Linked DNA regions of Arabidopsis thaliana. The protein of the gene in region 1 interacts with the protein of each later gene in a pairwise test. Each region holds a gene or a part of one and is shown on either strand. Other genes may lie near its edges.

Region 1 (11,596 bases):
TTGATTTCATAGAGAGAGTCGAGACGATTTGATTTTTCAGATAGGTGAGGGTCTCAGAGAGTTGAGAGATTGATCGGAGTCTGAGAATGCCATTGGAAGAAGATTGATAGACTTTAAGAAGCTTTAGGGTTAAGCAACCTGGGTTACAAGAAACGCAGATGTCGTAAAGCGCACGCGATGTTTTATACTCTTCGGAGTCTTGACGCTTAAAGAGATGATCGATGATCATCGCTACTTCTTCATGGCTTTCACTAACAAGAATCTCTCTCGCTTTCAACATAAGATTCAAAGATGAATATAAACCGGAACTAACCGTATGTTTAGTTGAAATCATTCAAAATGGCTGTCGTATACTTTTAGAATTATAGGCAAATAACTGTTCTTCCCACTCAGCTTCATCACCTCTATATCCACCATCATCATCCTCACCGCGAACACTATCATCTCCATCATTACATTTCTCAAGGTACCAAGGAGGCAAAGACGCTTCACACCTTTACCAGCAACACCATATCCTAATCTATATTTGTCTTCATCTACATTATTATACCTTATGACTTTAATTGAGGTTTGGTTTCTCTCTTAGCAATGTATCACCCAATTGAGTTTTTGTTGGCTTTGCTAATGAGAGGTTATAAAGGTTATCATAAGACACAATGAAGGTGTGATATTTGTTTGCTAGTGAGGATATAGATAGAGCTCATACACAATTAGGGTTAGTTTTGATTTCGAATAAAAAAATAGCTTTGTGAGCAAGCAATTTTCTCAATTCCGAAAATTAATGCATGATTAACATAATCTTATTTTGGGAAAATAATTTAATGATTCGAATATGCTATTTTGTTTAAGAAATATATGAAAATCGTATAGGATATAATTGAATAAAAGAGAGAATATGCCTTTGATTAGCTTTTAATTACATACAAATAAAATGAATGGTTAATATTAAAACAATAATATTTAGTATTAATTAGTTGTGATTAGATAAATTTGTATCATAAAATCGAGAATTTAGCAACAAAATCGGAAAAGTCAATAACTAATTTGCTTTAGAATCAAGTAAATGAATATTGTGATCAAAGAACAACATATATATGGTTAGTATAGATCTTTTCTAATTGTTTAGATTTTCTCAAATAATACGTAATTAATATGTGCAAGATTAAGACAAATAATTAATTATAAATTGTTAGTTGATAAAGTCGATTTGTAAATTTTTTTAAAGACAATATTTTGTCAAATAGATTTTGTTAGGATTAATATTGAAAATAGTAAATATTTGAGAGATTTTTCAACCAAAAACTTTATTAAAAATGTATATATAGATACTTTTTCAGCCAAGACTATGACTATTTGTACCATGGTCTCTTGGTAGCCTCATGTGAATCAAAATCTTGCTTCTCACTGTTTCTCTTGTTAGCATTTTAATATTGACTTTTGCTCCACTAAATTGGAAATATTTCCCCACATTTAGCATCATCATGACAGTTTGATAGCTACTCTTGTTTCTGGGAATCCGGTGGACCAACACGAACGAAATAGACATACCTACAGGAAGAAAGAAATCGGACAGTAGGAAAAAAATCCACCAATCACAAGCCTCCCGGTCAAATCGTCTTCATATCGCCATGCCTCAACCTAAACGAATATTTTTCTTTCCCCAATGTTTATTTTTTTAACTTTCTTTTTCTTTTTCTTTTTTTTTTCATGCAAAAAACTAATATATTCACTTTGTCTCTACTATTACTAAAGCTCTTTTGTGTTGGTCAATTTAACAATTGGTTTTTAGAATTTCGTCTTATATCTGTTGAAAGAATATGATAAAATAACAATTAAGACAGGAATAAGCGAGTATAATTCAATGTTTTTCTGGTATGCTTGTGTCATGACTTTCTTTCGAGAGACTGGATAGTTCATTTTTTTCACGTATATCGAGAAGCTAATTAACTATCTAGCATATGGGTTAGCTAATTATGCGTTTAGTTTGTCGCCAAGATTTCATTCTTCTACTTATGTTCCAGATATTGTTACTTTGCTCTTTGTAAATGATACGCGTGGGTCCACGAGACCGAGAAGCATTCACATATGATATTTTTTCTTTTAGTTTATGAATAAATTGTGAGTGACATTCTTTACCAGGGCCTACCAAAAAAGAAAAATTTACAAGTAGTACTCAAGTCATATAGTAGAAACGATATTGAGACAAAAAGAAAAATTTGGGTTACATCATAAAGGGGCTTATTGAATAGGTGAATATAGTGGAATCATATAGTACTCAAGTCTTTAATGAAGCACAGAGGGATAACACAACCAATGAGGAAGATTCAAATCAATCAACACAAGTGGATGGATAATTCAAACCAGTAGAGTAATTTTAGGTGATTGTGATAACCAAGTCAATAAGCCTCTTTCTTCTGATGTAACCTTGAAAGCAACAAAACATTTCCAATTACACAACTTTTGCAATTATAAATTTGTAATCTCTCAAATCACAACATCAAAAAGCTTTTATATACACAAGAAAGCTTGTATCTACATTGAGGACACGAGGTGTGAATCTTCAACCACTTCTCCACACACTCCAAGTGATACTTGTGTTTACATGGCAGCTCTGTTTCCATATCACTTTTGCTCCATTCCTCGAAACATATCACACACTCTCCTTTCTCCACCATCGCTACACGTGGTAACATCGCTACCGCCCGTATCGTTGCCGGCGATTCATTAGTCAACAACCGTGCGGTCGTCCTCGTCGACGAAACGGTTGCTCGTAAAGATATTTGCTCATCGATGAACCTCGTTAGTGTCATCAAACTCGATGTCCGCATGTTCGATGTCGATGATGTTACGTACGTTTCTGATCGATGAAGTGATCATACTTTACCAACTGGTTATGTTTCAAATTTTTAATTTTGGTAATGTAAACCAATATTGACAAAATTCGAAGGGAATATGATCTTCACATACGAATTCAACAATAGATCCTAATCATGCTTCTACAAAACATGATTCCAATTGAATTCATTACCTTCTCCTAAAAAAACAAAAGTTGACGTCAAAACCCTCATGCTGAGTCAGAAGATTCAGAAATCATAATCACTAGTCTTCAGCTTCAAGAGGCATTTTGTATCTACACTGAGGACACGTGGCGTGAATCTTCAACCACTTCTTCACACATTCCAAGTGATACTTGTGTTTACATGGTAGCTCCGTCTCCATATCACCTTTGCGCCATTCCTCCAGACATATCACACACTCTCCATTCTCCACCATCGCTACACGCGACAACTTTGTTACAGTTTTAAACGTCTCCCACAAGCTCCCAAATTGTATGTAAGAAGTTTGAGTGAATGAATTTGCTACTTCTTCACTCATTGTTATCATATTTCTTGCCGATGTAGGCATAATCTCTACTGTTGACATTGACGATGATACGGTTCCTGGTGCCAACATTGACGCTTGCACACTCATCCTGGTCGACGAGGACATTGGGAAGGTACCTCGTGTCGACATTGACGTCTGCAAAACCCTAGATGAGTTTGATGAAGGCACGTTTGTGGTCGATGTGGGCACGGTAGTCCTACTCCTAGTTGAAGAAGTTGTATTCGTCTCCCACAGCCTCCCAAATTGTATGTAAGGAGTTTGAGTACTGAATGTATTTGCTACTTCTTCGCTCCTTGTTATCACATTTCTTGATGATGTAGGCATAATTTCCGGTGTTGACATTGACGTTTGCATGCTACTCGTTGATGTCGACGATGATACGGTTTCTCGTCCTGACATGGATGATTGCACATTCCTCCTCGTCGACGAGGACATTGGGGAGGTACCTCGTCTCGACATTGACGTCTGCAAAACTCTAGGTGAGTTTGATGATGGCACGGTCGGCCAACTCCTAGTTGAAGGAGTTGTATTCGTCTCCCACAGGCTCCCAAATTGTATGTAAGAAGTTTGAGTGAATGTATTTGCTACTTCTTCGCTGCTTGTTATCACATTTCTTGATGATGTAGGCATAATTTCCGGGGTTGACGTAGACGTTTGCATGCTCCTCGTTGATGTCGACGATGGTACGGTTTCTCGTGCTGACATGGATGCTTGCACACTCCTCCTCGTCGACGAGGACATTGGCGAGGTACCTCGTCTCGACATTGAGGTCTGCAAAACCCTAGGTGAGTTTGATGTGGATGATGGCACGTTTGTTGTCGATATGGGCATGATCGCCCTGCTTCTATTTGAAGCTGCTCTATCCGTAGCGGACTGATGACGAGCATGGAAAAAACGGTCGTCGGGAAAATCTCCTCCAGATGACATTGAAGTATGTGCAACCCTTGGTGTCATCAAACTCGTAGATCGCATGTTCGATGTCGATGTTGGCAAGTTTGTTGCCGTAGTTGGAGTTGTTCTATTTGTAACGGAAAGATATCGATGATAAAAGAAACGCTCGTCACGCATATCCGAGGACATTGCAACTCAAAACCTAAAGGACAAAAAAAAACGAAATAGAGATTATATTAAGAGATCAAAGGTTTTTTTGTATGTCGTCATCTCTTGTTATTAAGAAGAAATAAAACAGATCGAGAGTTCTAAATTATGGAGAACGAAAACCTTATAGATAAGATTTTCTCGGCGCTTGTTATTAAACTCTTTATGGTTGATTGTTTTTTTGACATACTCTTTTTGTTGTTTAGATTCGACTTTTGAGTTACAGTTTCGTTAATGCTCTAGATTTTTTTTTGAATATTTAACTTTATCATAAAAAATAAATTTATCATATCAAAACTGATTTACAAAAGTGTTAGCAATTTTTTGTGAAAGATTTGTTTTCTAGTTTTAGAGAAAAATTGAACTATTTTCACTATATATTTTAGAGTTAAACCATGCGGATACGTAGAATATTATTGAAATTGAACTATATCATTATCCAATATCCCATAAATTTTTATTACATTAAATCTTCTTTTTGACCAAACCAATCTCCATGAACAAAAGATCGATGCCGGTTCAAGAGACTGAATTTAGAAATTGGAAACTAAAAAGAAGGGAATTCGATCTCAGCTCCACATTTCCCATGTGGGAAAACCGGACATTCGATTAAACCGGAACCAGACCGGTCAACACAAAGATAGACTTGGTACAATTGGCTATTACCAGAACCATCTCTGTTACACTCAACCCAAGGAGTGAAACCAATTGACTCTTTTATCGAATCTCTTATGCTCTCCAAAGAGTAAGATTTTCCATCCGGATTAATCCCTATTACATAATAAACCAATAGTTAGACCAATGAGATCCAAACCGGGAAAATAAAAAGGTACTTTGACATCAAAACGTACCGGCTTTGGTTAGAGCTCCAAGGAGATTGGTTTTCTGTTTAAGGTTAAGAGCGGTTTGGAAATATTCATGTTGATCGATAACCGATTCAGAGCAAGTACCATGCTTCTCCCATTCGTGCTCCCAAAACGCTTCACCTGAACCGCTTGGGCAAGCCAGTGTTGGCCAGCTCTTCTTCATTGAAGTGAGAAGATCTGATATCTGTACCAAACCAAATCAAACCAACCGGTTATGTACAAAACTTTCCATATTTTTTACCTTAAACCATATTTTTGACCTTAAAACAGAAATGTTTGATCTTATTACCGTTGAGCTATCGAATGGTTTAGAGGCATCACAGTTAGATGGATAAGTTCCATCTTTGTAGTTAGGCCAAAGACCATGAATGCCAAAATCAGCAGCTGGTTTGCCTGAATTTGGATAACAACACTTCTTCTGTGTGTCACAGTATGATCCTGGCCACTATACAATAAAACACAAAACAATATTAGATGATTATAAAAAATCATCAGAAACATTCTTAGAATGATTTTATTACTTGTTGGACGAAGTAGAAGAAATCAAAATCTTCAGAGGAAGAAGAAGCAGAGAAGACAGAAGGCAAGATTACGAGAAGACTGATCAAACACAATGATGCTAGAAGAATCTTCATCTTTCAAAGTTTTTTGTAAGAGAAGATTGTGATTTTGAGGGTTATAAGATTGAGATGGTTAATGGGTGAATATATATAAAGAGAAATAGAATCAGAGGAATGTGAATAGAGAGATATCAGTTTCCTAGTTTGTGTAATAATGAAATGGACAGATACATCAAAAGAATCTCGGAGATTTATGGTATATACTGTACCTTTTGTTTTATGTGAAGTGTATGTATGTTTACGAGATTTGTTTTTAATTTTGTTCTCCTTGGAATCTGAATCATATGAGATTACGTGTGGACATAGTTGTTGTGTTTTTTTTTAATTTTGAAGTCGTAACGTTCACACTTGTTTGTTAGAAGGTTCGTTTTGTATGCACGTAACGGCCCAATAATATTTTATATTTATGTTTTTAAGCAAGCCCAATTATTGATATCTAACTTATATAATCTATTAAGTTTAATGATTTTATCTAAAACTAAATTGCATTAAGCAATAATTTTTTTTAATTCTATTATATAAGTAGACAATAATGAAATAACTAGTTTGTAAACAACTTTCCTCAGAATTACTTCGTTTGAGCGATAATAATTTCAGATGACAAAAAAAGATAGATAATCAATTATCTTGAACTTTATAATTAATGTGTTAAATATTTATATATCTATATACGGAAGTATTAAATAAACAATCTTTTTGTAAGTAAATTTCGTGTGAAACTTTCTTGGATGTGTCTTAGTATTTTCTCATTTTCCTATAACAACTTAATAAATTACTACACGTAAACCAGAATTATAAGTTAACTTGGCAAATTTTCTCAAAATAAAATTACTCAGTTTGAACTCAAACTCGGAATATTATTGGTCCCCAGTTCGTTGCCGACAATTTTTCTTTGCTCCTATAGAAGAAGTGTTTTAATAGTAGACGATATCTGAACTGTATTTGTCCTCGTTGTTATTAATGATGTGTTTTAAATTTGTCACACAATGTCGATCAAACTTATTTGTCAACGAATTGTTTAATACTTTATAACTTCTTGAAAATAATAAAATAAGTAATGATTTAGAGTTGCTTTTCTAATTTTATTGAAATTTTTTAATTTCCAATGCAACATCAATTTTTCTTGCTTAAACTATCTACAATGGTTACTTATATACAACATCCATTTTTTTTTTCTTTTAATACTTCACATCGTCTTCTCTTTTACACATTATTATTTAACACCTATACAATTTTTATCTTGAATAATTGTTGAGAATACCCTTTTCACATTACCCTTTTTCAATTCTACTCTTTCCTATTTGTCATTTTTATTTTTACCTTCTTTAAATTTTAATGACCATTTACCGTTATTTGGAAATTGTTTTAGGTAAACAAAATGAAATATTAATATTTTTCGCCTAAAATATTCCAAAATAAATTTCCCACCAAATAATTTTGAAAAAACAATTTCCCGCCAATTTTTTTTTTCCAAAAATATTTTTCCCGCCAAATTTACACGAGATTTTAAAAGAGTTTTAAAAGAATTACACGGGATTTTAAAATATTTACAAGGATTTTAAAAGGGTTTAAAAAGATTTACAAGGGATTTTAAAAGGGTTTTAAAAGTTTTACAGGGGATTTTAAAAGGGTTTTAAAAGATTTATAAGAGATTTTAAAGGGCTTTAAAAGATTTACAAAGGTTTTATAAAGATTTTTAAAGGGTTCAAAATTGTTTGAAAAGTGTTTTAAAATATTTACAAGTGATTTTAAAAGGGTGTTAAAAGATTTACAAGGGATTTTAAAAGGGTTTTAAAAGATTTACAAGGGATTTTAAAAGGGTTTTAAAGATTTACAAGAGATTTTAAAAGGGTTTTAAGATATGTACAAGGGTTTTTAAAAGATTTTTAAAGAGTTTACAAGAAGATTCTTTAAAAACTCTTGTAAAATTTTTTAAAACCTTTTAAAATCCATTGTAAATCTTTTAAAACCCTTTTAAAATCCCTTGTAAATCTATTTCCCGCAAAAAAAAAATTACAAGGATTTTTAGAAGCAATTTTTTGGTTGTAAAAATTTTTGGCGAGAATATTTTTTTTTGGCGGGAAAAATGTTTGACGAAATTTTTTTTTTTTGGCGGGGAAAGAAAAATTGGCGGGAAAATTTCAGTTTCCAATTACATGTTCCTATTAGATGAGGATAATTTGGTCATTCTGGTCAAGGAAATGAGTATTTTTAAAAATGGACAACACGAAAGGGTATTGTTGCAAAAGGTAGTAAAAAAAGGGTAGTTTTGCAAATCTCCCTTTTATATTTACAATAGTTTTGTTTAATAAAATTACAATACCTTACCCCACCATTTTTATTTCATTTTTTTCATTTTATTTATGTTTATGTTTTTGTGATTACATATTATTAATCATTGTTAATATTAAATTAAATTAAAATAATTTTATAAATTATTTTTGTGTTAATATTTGTTTTTATTTTATATAATATTTTTAAAAACTTTTATAAATAATAAAAACGAGAAATAGAAATTATTATTACTAAAACACATACAATGAACATAAATTTAAAATGCAAAAATACAATAAGCACACAACAAGTAAGAAAACACTAATAATTTAATTAATACAATAATCTCAACTCACAAACTTAAAAATTTCATTCACCATGGAACATTCCGAATTGTGCTCGTATGTGTTTGACTGGATCTGCTTGCAATTCGTGATGTACATTTAAATCACGCAACTCGGACCTAGCACGCACATGATTTGTAAATACGGGTAGCACTTCGGTCGAGAATGGTTGTTGTGTACTCGACCTACTTGCCTCAAATTGATCATAATCCGTCCAATGTTGAGCATATGTCTCTCGTTCATCCTCAACAATCATATTATGCAATATGATACACGATCTCATGATGATAGCCAACACGGTTTTTTATTTTTTGTATTCAAATCAAATGAAAATAGTATCTATTTATAGAGAATGAAAATTATAAATTTTGATATTTTTATGTATAAATATTATAAAATAATTGAAGTTATATAATTGAAATGAAACAAAAAAAAATAGAAATCAAAGCAATCAATCAAAATATAACACTTGTCACACTTATTTTCTATCTTCTACTTTCAGGGATGTTGATATTTATCAACACTAAATTTGCCATATCACCTAACTTTTAATTACAACAAATCAATGTAGTGAAAATATTTTTTTCACCAGTTGTAAAATGGTTTGTTACAACAAATCATTGTAACTAGTCTGAGGTTAAATCAGCTTATTAGATTTTATTTTATTTTATTTTATTAGTTCTAACACTTATGAAAATTATTGAACAGGTGACACCATATCGATTACCATGTTAAATCATATTTTGAATCAATTTATAAAACTATAAGAAACAATACACAGTTATATGATTTTTAGCTACGGAAAATTATGTTGTTGGTCTGGAGATGACGTCACCAAAAATCCCCACAAGAACATTTTCCATCTTCAAAATGATGAAACCTTTGAACATCTCTAAGAACAACTTTCCTACCAAATATAAGAGATATCAACTTTGCTGCATTGTGACAATCTCTACACACCCTAAGATTCTTCACAACCCGAATCGTTGTTCCCGGAGGAGTATTCAATAATCCAAACGTTATCGCAAGCTTTTCGCTGTGATACCTAAGCGTAATTTCCTTCTCTTGGTCATTCATATTGGCGTGAACTACCATTGATGTATCAGGAACATAACCTGAAAGCTTTAGCTCTTTCACCATTTCATCTAATGCTCTGTGAAGCTTTGTGGTTGCAGACTTCACACCATCCCCTGAGAAAAACTCATGAACCACATTGTTTACCTCAATCGAGCTGCAACCGGGAACTTTAACCGCCTTTCGATCTTTCATCACCTTTCTTAAAGAATCTACATATTCCCATTTCTTGTTTCTCGCGTATAGGTTTGATAAAATCACGTAATCGCCACCGTGTGAATCATCTAGCTCAAAGATCCTCTCGCTAACCTTTTCAGCTAGGTCCAAATTGTTATGGCTGCTACAAGCAGCTAAAAGAATCCTCCATAGCATTGGTGTTGGGCTAATTGGGAGCTTATCAATGAATTCATATGCATCTTCTAAATTTCCAGCTCTACTAAGAAGATCTACCATAGAACCATAATGCTTAATACTCGGAACAATCCCAAATTTGCTAACCATCTGTGAGAAATACTTTCTCCCTTCTTCCACTCGACCAGTGTGGCTGCAAGCGTTTAACAGACCGAGAAATGTGATCTCATCAGGCTGAACATTTTCAGACCTCATTCTCTCAAACATCAACATGGATTTCTCAGCTTTCCCATGATTCGCATAAGCTACAATCATTGCTGACCAAGCTTGTGTATCCTTATACCTCATTTTTTCGAATATAGACACTGCATCATCCAAGCTACCACATTTCGCAAACATATCGATCAAAGCTGTGTTTACTTTCACATACTTACAGAAACTATGTTTCTTAGCATACTTATGTATCCATTTCCCTAAATCTAACGATCCCAACAGAGCACAAGATGACAGAACACTCAAAAGGGTAATCTCATTCGGCTTCAAGTACTTACCTTGCATTTCACGGAACAAAGATAAAGCCTCGTTCGGTCTGTTTCTTCTCGCATAACCCGTGATCATAGCATTATAACAAACAACACACGGCTCAACAATCCGATCAAACACACAACGAGCAGAATCCACATCTTCACACTCAGTGTACATATTAATAAGCGTTGGACAAACATAGACATTATCATCAAGCCCTAGTTTCATCGACAAACAATGCAATTGTCTACCTTCTTCTAACGCCTTTGCTACTGCACAAGCTTTGAGAAGAGACGGGAAAGTGTAGTTGTCAGGTAAAATACCATCTTCTAAGATCTCAACGAAGAGACTAAAAACCTCAAGAGGATTCGTGAAGCGAGAATACCCACGAGCCATAGAATTAAAAATGACAATATCTGGTTCAGACATTGCCTCGAACAAGTGGCGTGCATATGACATTGAAGACTCCGTTGGAGACTCAGTGCAGAAATTTATCAGCTTAGCGACGAAGGAAACATCTTCAATATGAGATTTGATCGCGTAAGCTTGAATTTGCATCAGCTCTCTTAGAGAATTGCATTTGGAAATCAGAAGAATCGGGTTTTGTGTATTCACAGTGTCGATTTTCGAATGCTTAGTGAACGTTTCTGCGTGTGAGAATGATGATATTAGTGAAGCTGAAGATATCGCCATTAAAGCTCTGATTTTGAGCTTCTCATTATTCAAACTGACAAATCTTGAGGATAACGATAAGCCTGTTATGTGATCATGACCCGATTGCAAAATTAATAATCAAATAACCCGACCCGACCCGAATTGTAATTTAATAATTAGGTATAAAAATCGTAAAAGGCGCTACAACGACCAATTTATTTTCCAATTTAATTTTGCTTTTTAATCTCTTTTATTTTTATTTTTATTTCTATCACCGAGAACGACATCGGAGACTTGAGAGCGGCGGCGAGCTTCACCGGCGCTGGTTAACGGCGGCCCTCTCAATCTCCAGTATTCTCGGTTCAATAAAAGCTTCAAAAAAAGAAGAAAAAATCGAAAATTCACG
Region 2 (10,045 bases), on another chromosome or scaffold:
ATTGGTCAACATGTGAAAGCACGTGTCATGTTCTTACTTTTGTTTGGGTAATCTTCTAATTACTGTATATGGAAGATGTGAATGAAGTTTTGGTCCTGAATGTGGCCAAGGTTCCGTCATTTGGAGATACGAAATCAAATCTCCTTTAAGATTTTGTTTTTATAATGTGTTCTTCCATCCACATCTATCTCCATATGATATGGACCATATCATACATCATCATTTGTCCAAATGCATGAATGAATTTGGAAATAGGTACGAGAATGCCAACAATGACAAGAAGGGATCAAAGACAGTTTTTAAAACAATATTTTACAGGGTTTTAATCTAATTCTAAGTTTTGGTCACTCACTTTGTTAAAAGAATAATTCAGTGTCTGGACACTAAAATCTTCCAAAAACCCCATATACATATATGCTATTTCGATACTTATATTTATTTACTCAGCATAAAAAATATTAACCATGTATTCATAGTAAAATGTTTCATGTGATATCAAACCAGCGACAACAAAAGTATTATTCCCCTCATTATGTTTGACTCCTATTATATTTTTATTTTAATTTTTTTCACTATCATCTTTCTTGCAATGAAAGTCCCATATATTGGTCAACATTTCAAACCACTTGTTCTCTTTTATGTTTTGGTAAGAGCTATCTTCTAAATTTATAATACGCATAAATTCAAAAGTAAAAGAAAATTTTGGTCATGAATGTTGTTTAAGTCATTTGGAGATACGAAATCAAATCTCCTTGTAGATTTTGTTTTTAGAATGTCGTTCCTTTTTCATCATCTTAGCTATATCTACAGCTATATATCCTATCTTTAAACCTATATTATTTTTTCCTCTCTTCACCAAAGCCATGTTTTTTAGTTGTGGCGAAAAATAAGAAATCCATACATCAACATATCGCTTTCGTTACCTTAAATTTTGGCTTGTTATGAAGGCATGTCATAACGTTTCTAGTCACAACTCACAAGCATACCAACGACCATGATAAATCCAAAAAGTAGAAACAATCTATTATCTAAACCCCCAAAAGACAAAAGAAAAAAGTAGAAAGAAAAGGTAGGCAGAGATATAATGCTGGTTTTATTTGTTTGTTAAAAGATATTGCTATTTCTGCCAATATTAAAACTTCACTTAGGAAGACTTGAACCTACCACACGTTAGTGACTAATGAGAGCCACTAGATAATTGCATGCATCCCACACTAGTACTAATTTTCTAGGGATATTAGAGTTTTCTAATCACCTACTTCCTACTATGTGTATGTTATCTACTGGCGTGGATGCTTTTAAAGATGTTACGTTATTATTTTGTTCGGTTTGGAAAACGGCTCAATCGTTATGAGTTCGTAAGACACATACATTGTTCCATGATAAAATGCAACCCCACGAACCATTTGCGACAAGCAAAACAACATGGTCAAAATTAAAAGCTAACAATTAGCCAGCGATTCAAAAAGTCAACCTTCTAGATGGATTTAACAACATATCGATAGGATTCAAGATTAAAAATAAGCACACTCTTATTAATGTTAAAAAACGAATGAGATGAAAATATTTGGCGTGTTCACACACATAATCTAGAAGACAGATTCGAGTTGCTCTCCTTTGTTTTGCTTTGGGAGGGACCCATTATTACCGCCCAGCAGCTTCCCAGCCTTCCTTTATAAGGCTTAATTTATATTTATTTAAATTTTATATGTTCTTCTATTATAATACTAAAAGGGGAATACAAATTTCTACAGAGGATGATATTCAATCCACGGTTCACCCAAACCGATTTTATAAAATTTATTATTAAATCTTTTTTAATTGTTAAATTGGTTTAAATCTGAACTCTGTTTACTTACATTGATTAAAATTCTAAACCATCATAAGTAAAAAATAATATGATTAAGACTAATAAATCTTAATAGTTAATACTACTCGGTTTACTACATGAAATTTCATACCATCAATTGTTTTAATAATCTTTAAAATTGTTAGGACCGGTAAAACCATACCAATTAAACCGGAGATCCATATTAATTTAATTAAGAAAATAAAAATAAAAGGAATAAATTGTCTTATTTAAACGCTGACTTCACTGTCTTCCTCCCTCCAAATTATTAGATATACCAAACCAGAGAAAACAAATACATAATCGGAGAAATACAGATTACAGAGAGCGAGAGAGATCGACGGCGAAGCTCTTTACCCGGAAACCATTGAAATCGGACGGTTTAGTGAAAATGGAGGATCAAGTTGGGTTTGGGTTCCGTCCGAACGACGAGGAGCTCGTTGGTCACTATCTCCGTAACAAAATCGAAGGAAACACTAGCCGCGACGTTGAAGTAGCCATCAGCGAGGTCAACATCTGTAGCTACGATCCTTGGAACTTGCGCTGTAAGTTCCGAATTTTCTGAATTTCATTTGCAAGTAATCGATTTAGGTTTTTGATTTTAGGGTTTTTTTTTGTTTTGAACAGTCCAGTCAAAGTACAAATCGAGAGATGCTATGTGGTACTTCTTCTCTCGTAGAGAAAACAACAAAGGGAATCGACAGAGCAGGACAACGGTTTCTGGTAAATGGAAGCTTACCGGAGAATCTGTTGAGGTCAAGGACCAGTGGGGATTTTGTAGTGAGGGCTTTCGTGGTAAGATTGGTCATAAAAGGGTTTTGGTGTTCCTCGATGGAAGATACCCTGACAAAACCAAATCTGATTGGGTTATCCACGAGTTCCACTACGACCTCTTACCAGAACATCAGGTTTTCTTCTATTCATATATATATATATATATATATGTGGATATATATATATGTGGTTTCTGCTGATTCATAGTTAGAATTTGAGTTATGCAAATTAGAAACTATGTAATGTAACTCTATTTAGGTTCAGCAGCTATTTTAGGCTTAGCTTACTCTCACCAATGTTTTATACTGATGAACTTATGTGCTTACCTCCGGAAATTTTACAGAGGACATATGTCATCTGCAGACTTGAGTACAAGGGTGATGATGCGGACATTCTATCTGCTTATGCAATAGATCCCACTCCCGCTTTTGTCCCCAATATGACTAGTAGTGCAGGTTCTGTGGTGAGTCTTTCTCCATATACACTTAGCTTTGAGTAGGCAGATCAAAAAAGAGCTTGTGTCTACTGATTTGATGTTTTCCTAAACTGTTGATTCGTTTCAGGTCAACCAATCACGTCAACGAAATTCAGGATCTTACAACACTTACTCTGAGTATGATTCAGCAAATCATGGCCAGCAGTTTAATGAAAACTCTAACATTATGCAGCAGCAACCACTTCAAGGATCATTCAACCCTCTCCTTGAGTATGATTTTGCAAATCACGGCGGTCAGTGGCTGAGTGACTATATCGACCTGCAACAGCAAGTTCCTTACTTGGCACCTTATGAAAATGAGTCGGAGATGATTTGGAAGCATGTGATTGAAGAAAATTTTGAGTTTTTGGTAGATGAAAGGACATCTATGCAACAGCATTACAGTGATCACCGGCCCAAAAAACCTGTGTCTGGGGTTTTGCCTGATGATAGCAGTGATACTGAAACTGGATCAATGGTAAGCTTTTTTTACTCATATATAATCACAACCTATATCGCTTCTATATCTCACACGCTGAATTTTGGCTTTTAACAGATTTTCGAAGACACTTCGAGCTCCACTGATAGTGTTGGTAGTTCAGATGAACCGGGCCATACTCGTATAGATGATATTCCATCATTGAACATTATTGAGCCTTTGCACAATTATAAGGCACAAGAGCAACCAAAGCAGCAGAGCAAAGAAAAGGTTTAACACTCTCACTGAGAAACATGACTTTGATACGAAATCTGAATCAACATTTCATCAAAAAGATTTAGTCAAATGACCTCTAAATTATGAGCTATGGGTCTGCTTTCAGGTGATAAGTTCGCAGAAAAGCGAATGCGAGTGGAAAATGGCTGAAGACTCGATCAAGATACCTCCATCCACCAACACGGTGAAGCAGAGCTGGATTGTTTTGGAGAATGCACAGTGGAACTATCTCAAGAACATGATCATTGGTGTCTTGTTGTTCATCTCCGTCATTAGTTGGATCATTCTTGTTGGTTAAGAGGTCAAATCGGATTCTTGCTCAAAATTTGTATTTCTTAGAATGTGTGTTTTTTTTTGTTTTTTTTTCTTTGCTCTGTTTTCTCGCTCCGGAAAAGTTTGAAGTTATATTTTATTAGTATGTAAAGAAGAGAAAAAGGGGGAAAGAAGAGAGAAGAAAAATGCAGAAAATCATATATATGAATTGGAAAAAAGTATATGTAATAATAATTAGTGCATCGTTTTGTGGTGTAGTTTATATAAATAAAGTGATATATAGTCTTGTATAAGAAAGGGATTTTACATGAGACCCAAATATGAGTAAAGGGTGTTGGCTCAAAGATTCATTTAGCAACCAAAGTTGCATTTGCAAGGAAATGAAAAGGTGTTAACAATGTCACTGCGTAACATGACTTCGATACAAAATCTCAAACAATACATCTTCAACTGTGGATTATGATGGACTTGGGGTTGCAGGTGATATGTCTATAGAAAAACGGGTGGGAATGGAAAATGGCTGAAGAAGAAAGCTCCAACTAAGCATCATAACTGGATTGTTTTAGAGGAGATGAGTCAAAGGAATTCACAGTGGAACTATCTCAAGAACATGATCATTGGCTTCTTATTGTTCATCTCCATCATTGGCTGGATCATTCTGGTTCAAGAGGTCAAATTATATATACATAACGGATCTAAGAAGTATAGTGTAGTCAATTAAAACAAAACGAGACTTGAAAATAAGCATAAGTATTATTAAGTTAACCCAATATTCGTTTCAATGCTTTAGTTATCATCAGAATTCTCAACATTTTCAGATATTTAACTTGCCTTTGGTTGCTTTCTCGCCATGGTAGTAGCATTCTCCGGATAAGAATCAAGGGGAGCCTCAACTTCGGCTTCAACCGTCTCCTCGTCTTTCCTATGACATTCACTTGGTGTTGCAACAATGTGTTGATGCCCCACATTCATAGGAGAGTCCCACATATCTCCAACATTCATAGGAGGGTTCCACATATGCCCACCATTCCAAGGAGGGTACCACCACATATGCCCAGCATTCCAAGAAAGATGGAGCGACGATATCGTGAGGAACAAGGTTTTTGTAGGGCAAATAATTGTAGGTGGTTGAGTTATATCCGCCCGCACAGAGTAACAGACCAACAATTAACTTTTGATATTTTAGTAAGGTCTAATTCAATTTTTGGTGGCGATAATATTTGGCTTAGTCATAAAATACAGTATGGTATAATAATGTAAAGGTTTCTCTTATCTTCAAACCAAAAGACTATACTGGAAGCTGATGGGATCATACGATTCTGAAAAAATAAGACATATATTGCAACAGAGATCCAATTTGTATCAAAAATATTGTCGGCTCAAAAATCTGACCCACCAAGAATCTAATCAAGTGCGCGATTAAGCATACGGCTATGCATCTGGTCATTGTTGATTCAGTCATCACTGGTTTAAAGACAAACTTGCATTGTGAGATTCCAAAATAACAACAACAAAAAACAATTTGCATTGAGAACATTTTGAAGGTCTGACCTTTAAGAGCCATGGAGTTTGATGTTAAGAGAAGTATATCGACAAAAAAAATCACTGACATTGGGAATTCCCATACCTGTAATAACAAAGATTCTCTATTTTTGAGCAAAGAGACATAACACCATGTTTAATCAATACAAGAAACTTTAGTGCATGATTTATGGAATGCTTAAGAAGTTTGGAACTTCAATATTAGGAATTAAGTGAGAGGTAAAGCTACAACATACCAACATCGCAAGCAGAAATATCTTGAAGTAACTAGAGATGAATATCCCCAACATAATCTCTCTTCTTCTGCAAAGTTTTTAAAAAAAATTATACATAAACAATCTTCAGGTGACAGAAGTCTGAGATCTTTGATGAAAAACTCATAATAAGAACTAAGAAGAAGAAGAATCAGTAATCACCTGGAAACTTCATTTAGCAAACCCTTAGTCGCAATGGCAAAAGAGATGATAAATGCAGCGTTTGCAGATAAGACACCAATCAGAACCTGTTTCAAATGCGAAATTATTACCCTTTCTAAACAATCTCAATGACTTAAATCATTTAAACCTTAAAGGAAAAAAAATCTAATTAAGTCCATTAAAAAGAAACGATCTAACCTTTATAGATAGAAGAACAGGGCTATCAGAAAAGCTCGATTCTTCATCACTTTTTCTCAGTAGCAAGCTTCTATCTATGATGAGTTCAGGGCTTTTCAAATAAGTTTGCCGATGAATCTCACCAACTACACATCTGCTAGCTACACTTTGATAGTAAAAGATTATAAAACAAAAGGATACAACAGTCTAGAAGAAGATAGGCGAAGACCAACTTCCACAACAGATGCTGCACACACACACACAAAAAAAAAAAAAGAACCCAACAATTCTTATTGGATCAGAGACTACTCAATATCCCCAAACTTGGAAATTAGTTTGTTGCTTGAGGTCTAAGATACTTCTATATATGGAAAAAGATTTTCAAAGCCAGATATTTCCACAAGTTTGTAATATCAATTCAAGATAAGAGAGCTAGAATCAGACAGGAACTAGCAATGCTTGAAATCAAGAACTTGAATTGAAATAGTTTTTTACCTGAATATTGACAGTTGCTGGATTAATTGCATTGTAGAGGACGTGTCTATATACCTTTGGTCTGTGAAGGATTAAATCGATGAAAATAATCTGCCAAAGAAAACAATTAAAGAACCAAAAACCAAAATTGGAAAGAAATAGGGAAACACCCAAAAAGGGAAAGAAAGTGATTAAAACAGACCATGCGTTCACACTCGATGTACTCATCTGCTACTTCCTTGCAATTTCCCTAAATATAACAATATGATCAAAGATGGAAACTTTGAAGAAATTTAATAGAGAATCTTATAAACCCTAATTGGGTCAAAGAAGATCCATTAATACAAAAATCTTACGCATTTCATGAGACGAATGTTACCCGGAGAGTATTGAATGAACAATGACTTTACCCTAAAACCACATCCCACGCATCTGTGTTCACTCGCCGCCATTGCTCTCTCTCTCTCTCTCTCTCTCTCTCTCTCAAGAGAAGAAGAATACGGAGCAATTAGAGTCCGGGTCTGGGCTACTGTTTTAACCCTAAATGGGCTTATTCATGGGCCAAGTTTTTGAAGTCTTAACTTTAAATTTGTTAGGCCCACTTTTGCTCTAAGCCGGGGTATTTGTACCCCAAAATTTAAAAATCATATACACGTTGTAATTTATAAATAGTTCAATTTGGATCAAAATCTTGTCCATATGACATAGCATTTTAAAATGCGTAGGTTCATGAATGAAACATATTATAGGCCTCAGATAAAGATATACATATTAAGTCTAAATTATTTAGTCTTCAGAATTTACCACACTTACTGAAAAGTCTAGTGGTTCACTAATATTATTACTGTCGTGTTACTTTCTATATATAGTTCATGACTTGTGAGTTGTGATGGATAAGTTTATAAGAAAATAAATTATTTATTACAATTCAACAGTGAAGAAATTTATTTAGTTTGATTAAATAAGAAAGGTAAATAAATCTTCGTTTGCCACACCAAACAAAAAAAACTCCTTTTGTTGCATGTAATTAGCATATGGCTACAAAATGAAAGATTTGACAATGAGGTTTAGATAAAATAGTTTCCTTTCAATATAAGTAAACTCAACATAAAAATGAAACGGTAAGTTAAAAGTTTAATATTTGATTATTACTTTATTTAGAAATGTATTAGAAAGGGAAAGAACCCATTAACCCCCAATACGAAGTTTCCTTATCATCATTAATCATGCCTATGAAAACCCTAACCGGCCTACATATTTGCAGTCTCTTTTAGGTCAGGAATCTAATGAGAATGAATTATTTTATTTTATTTAACAATAATTGGAGCATGTCATTAATTCTCTTTATTCTTCTTACACAACTAATCATTTAGATGTGTTACAATATTATTTCCTTTAGTCATTTTCATAATTTTAATACCTCCGTACTTTTCACTAATACCTCCCCTTTTAATTTTCATTATTTCTTCTTTTCTATCAGTCTATGCATGCATTCTTTTGAATATTAAAATGCATTTTATATTCTTTTGACAACTATGCACAAGCCTTTTGAGACACATCTACACAATATAATAGCACAAGCCTTTATGAGACATATCTACACAATATCATTGCTACTTGTAGACTATTTGGAATACGTATTTACATATTCCATTGTATCATCCCTTTGCAAATGTTTTATACATATAACTAACATATACATTATTCGTAACTTTGTTCCCCTATATCGAAAAATGTGGGCTACACATATAACTAACATATATATATATATGTATGTTTATATGATATAGTCTCCATGTCTATATATCTTATATATTACATGTTTCATGTTTACGGTCAAGGGAGTATTTTTATACGCATACACAATCATACACACTTAACCCTACTTATAATGATGTAGGTTCATATATTTATCTTATTTTAGGATCATTCGATCACAAATTATACGGACCCTCATACTCTCTAAAGATATACAAAATCCGCTATGTCATATCCGATCCGAATTAGCAGCTAAAGAAAAACAAACACATGCATCTACTGAAGATTTGAGTCTCGAGTGCTTAGTTACATGAACTATCACAAAGGATATGGATAATATAAGGTGTACTGAAGTATGTCTATGCAATGGGAGGGAAATACATTCTGTTAAATGACTTGTCGATTTGATCTTTCATGCCAAAGATTAAAAATTTAACACTTAATTAACGCAATCTTACCATATATTCATGGACTACATGCAGAATAGTAATTCTCCCAACCTTTCTAGTTATTTACCTGAATGTGTTTATGTACATGGACCGGTAACCTCATGTATATATGCACATACTGACAATCTGACATACATATATATAGTAGATATGACAACAACAACAAAAAAAAAAAAAATTCCTTGTTCGTGAAGCATGATCTGAGAGTTCCTAGTTAGCATGTTGTGTGGGATCATACTTTTAATATGCTGCAAGTACCAGTCAATTTTAGTATGGGAAACTATAAACATGTATAATCAACCAATGAACACGTCAATAACCTATTGAACAGCTTAGGGTGAAAATTATGATCCGTAGAGACAGCATTTAAAAGTTCCTTACGTCCACGTAAAATAATATATCAATTTATACATATACATGTGTAAACTGTGTATATATAGGGTAGGTATATGTGTATATATATAGTAATTGACAAATGATTTAGGTTCTAACATATATTCTAAAAGTACTCATGAGTTTGTGAGATCTACACAAGATACCTGATTTGATAAAAATGGCTTCAACTTGCAATCCAAACCAAACCAAACAAAGTTAATAACCAAGGGTTAATAACAAAAACAAGAATCTAGAATTAGTAAAAAAATGAGAAATTAATGAACCTGTGATCATAAAAAAAGTCAAACAATGTGAAAACATATCATACCTTTTGTTCTTTTTAATATAATAATTGAATTACTAAATGGATGGATCAGTCCTTCTTCCATAGCTAGCTTCTCTTTATTTTCTCTGCCCATAACCTGCAGAAAATCTCTTTAACCGAGCAAAATTACAAGAGTAACCAAACAAACAAAATAGGACCATCAGAGAGAGAGAAAAGAGTGCCTTTTTTTGGACCTGCCCATTAGCTTAGAATGTACCATGAAACACTTTGTCAGTGTAGGGAGATAGGCACAGAGAGTACAATTCATGAAATTTATAAGCTTTTTTCCCACTCATCAATTATAATCTCAAGTTATAAATATCAAAACTGAAAAAAGAAGAAGATGAAAACTGTTCTATTGATGAAATGCTGTAGGCACAGAGGTTCACCTAGTGTCAAGTATTAAGATTAACATATAACTTATGAAGATGATGAGTAACCAA

What was found. Proteins that work in one complex are often made in the same cells at the same time.
Region 2: the proteins of RNS1 (region 1) and NAC001 interact in a two-hybrid assay, tested with the Arabidopsis thaliana proteins (one large-scale study listed by BioGRID).

Annotation. Positions count from the first base shown.
Region 1 is NC_003071.7:868,101-879,696, reverse strand, and holds RNS1 (ribonuclease 1), read right to left. Parts: upstream 6,192-11,596; 5' UTR 5,984-6,191; coding exon 5,870-5,983; intron 5,794-5,869; coding exon 5,638-5,793; intron 5,533-5,637; coding exon 5,334-5,532; intron 5,254-5,333; coding exon 5,030-5,253; 3' UTR 4,811-5,029; downstream 1-4,810. Other genes in the region: AT2G03010 (hypothetical protein (DUF577)), read right to left, coding at 139-270, 378-450; AT2G03000 (RING/U-box superfamily protein), read right to left, coding at 2,490-2,857, 3,225-4,464; OTP85 (Pentatricopeptide repeat (PPR) superfamily protein), read right to left, coding at 9,418-11,229. UniProt on the Arabidopsis thaliana protein: May remobilize phosphate, particularly when cells senesce or when phosphate becomes limiting.
Region 2 is NC_003070.9:1,520-11,564, forward strand, and holds NAC001 (NAC domain containing protein 1), read left to right. Parts: upstream 1-2,111; 5' UTR 2,112-2,240; coding exon 2,241-2,394; intron 2,395-2,476; coding exon 2,477-2,757; intron 2,758-2,966; coding exon 2,967-3,086; intron 3,087-3,186; coding exon 3,187-3,576; intron 3,577-3,654; coding exon 3,655-3,807; intron 3,808-3,919; coding exon 3,920-4,111; 3' UTR 4,112-4,380; downstream 4,381-10,045. Other genes in the region: ARV1 family protein, read right to left, coding at 5,396-5,550, 5,638-5,713, 5,865-5,931, 6,045-6,130, 6,243-6,316, 6,423-6,468, 6,717-6,806, 6,898-6,945 and 1 more.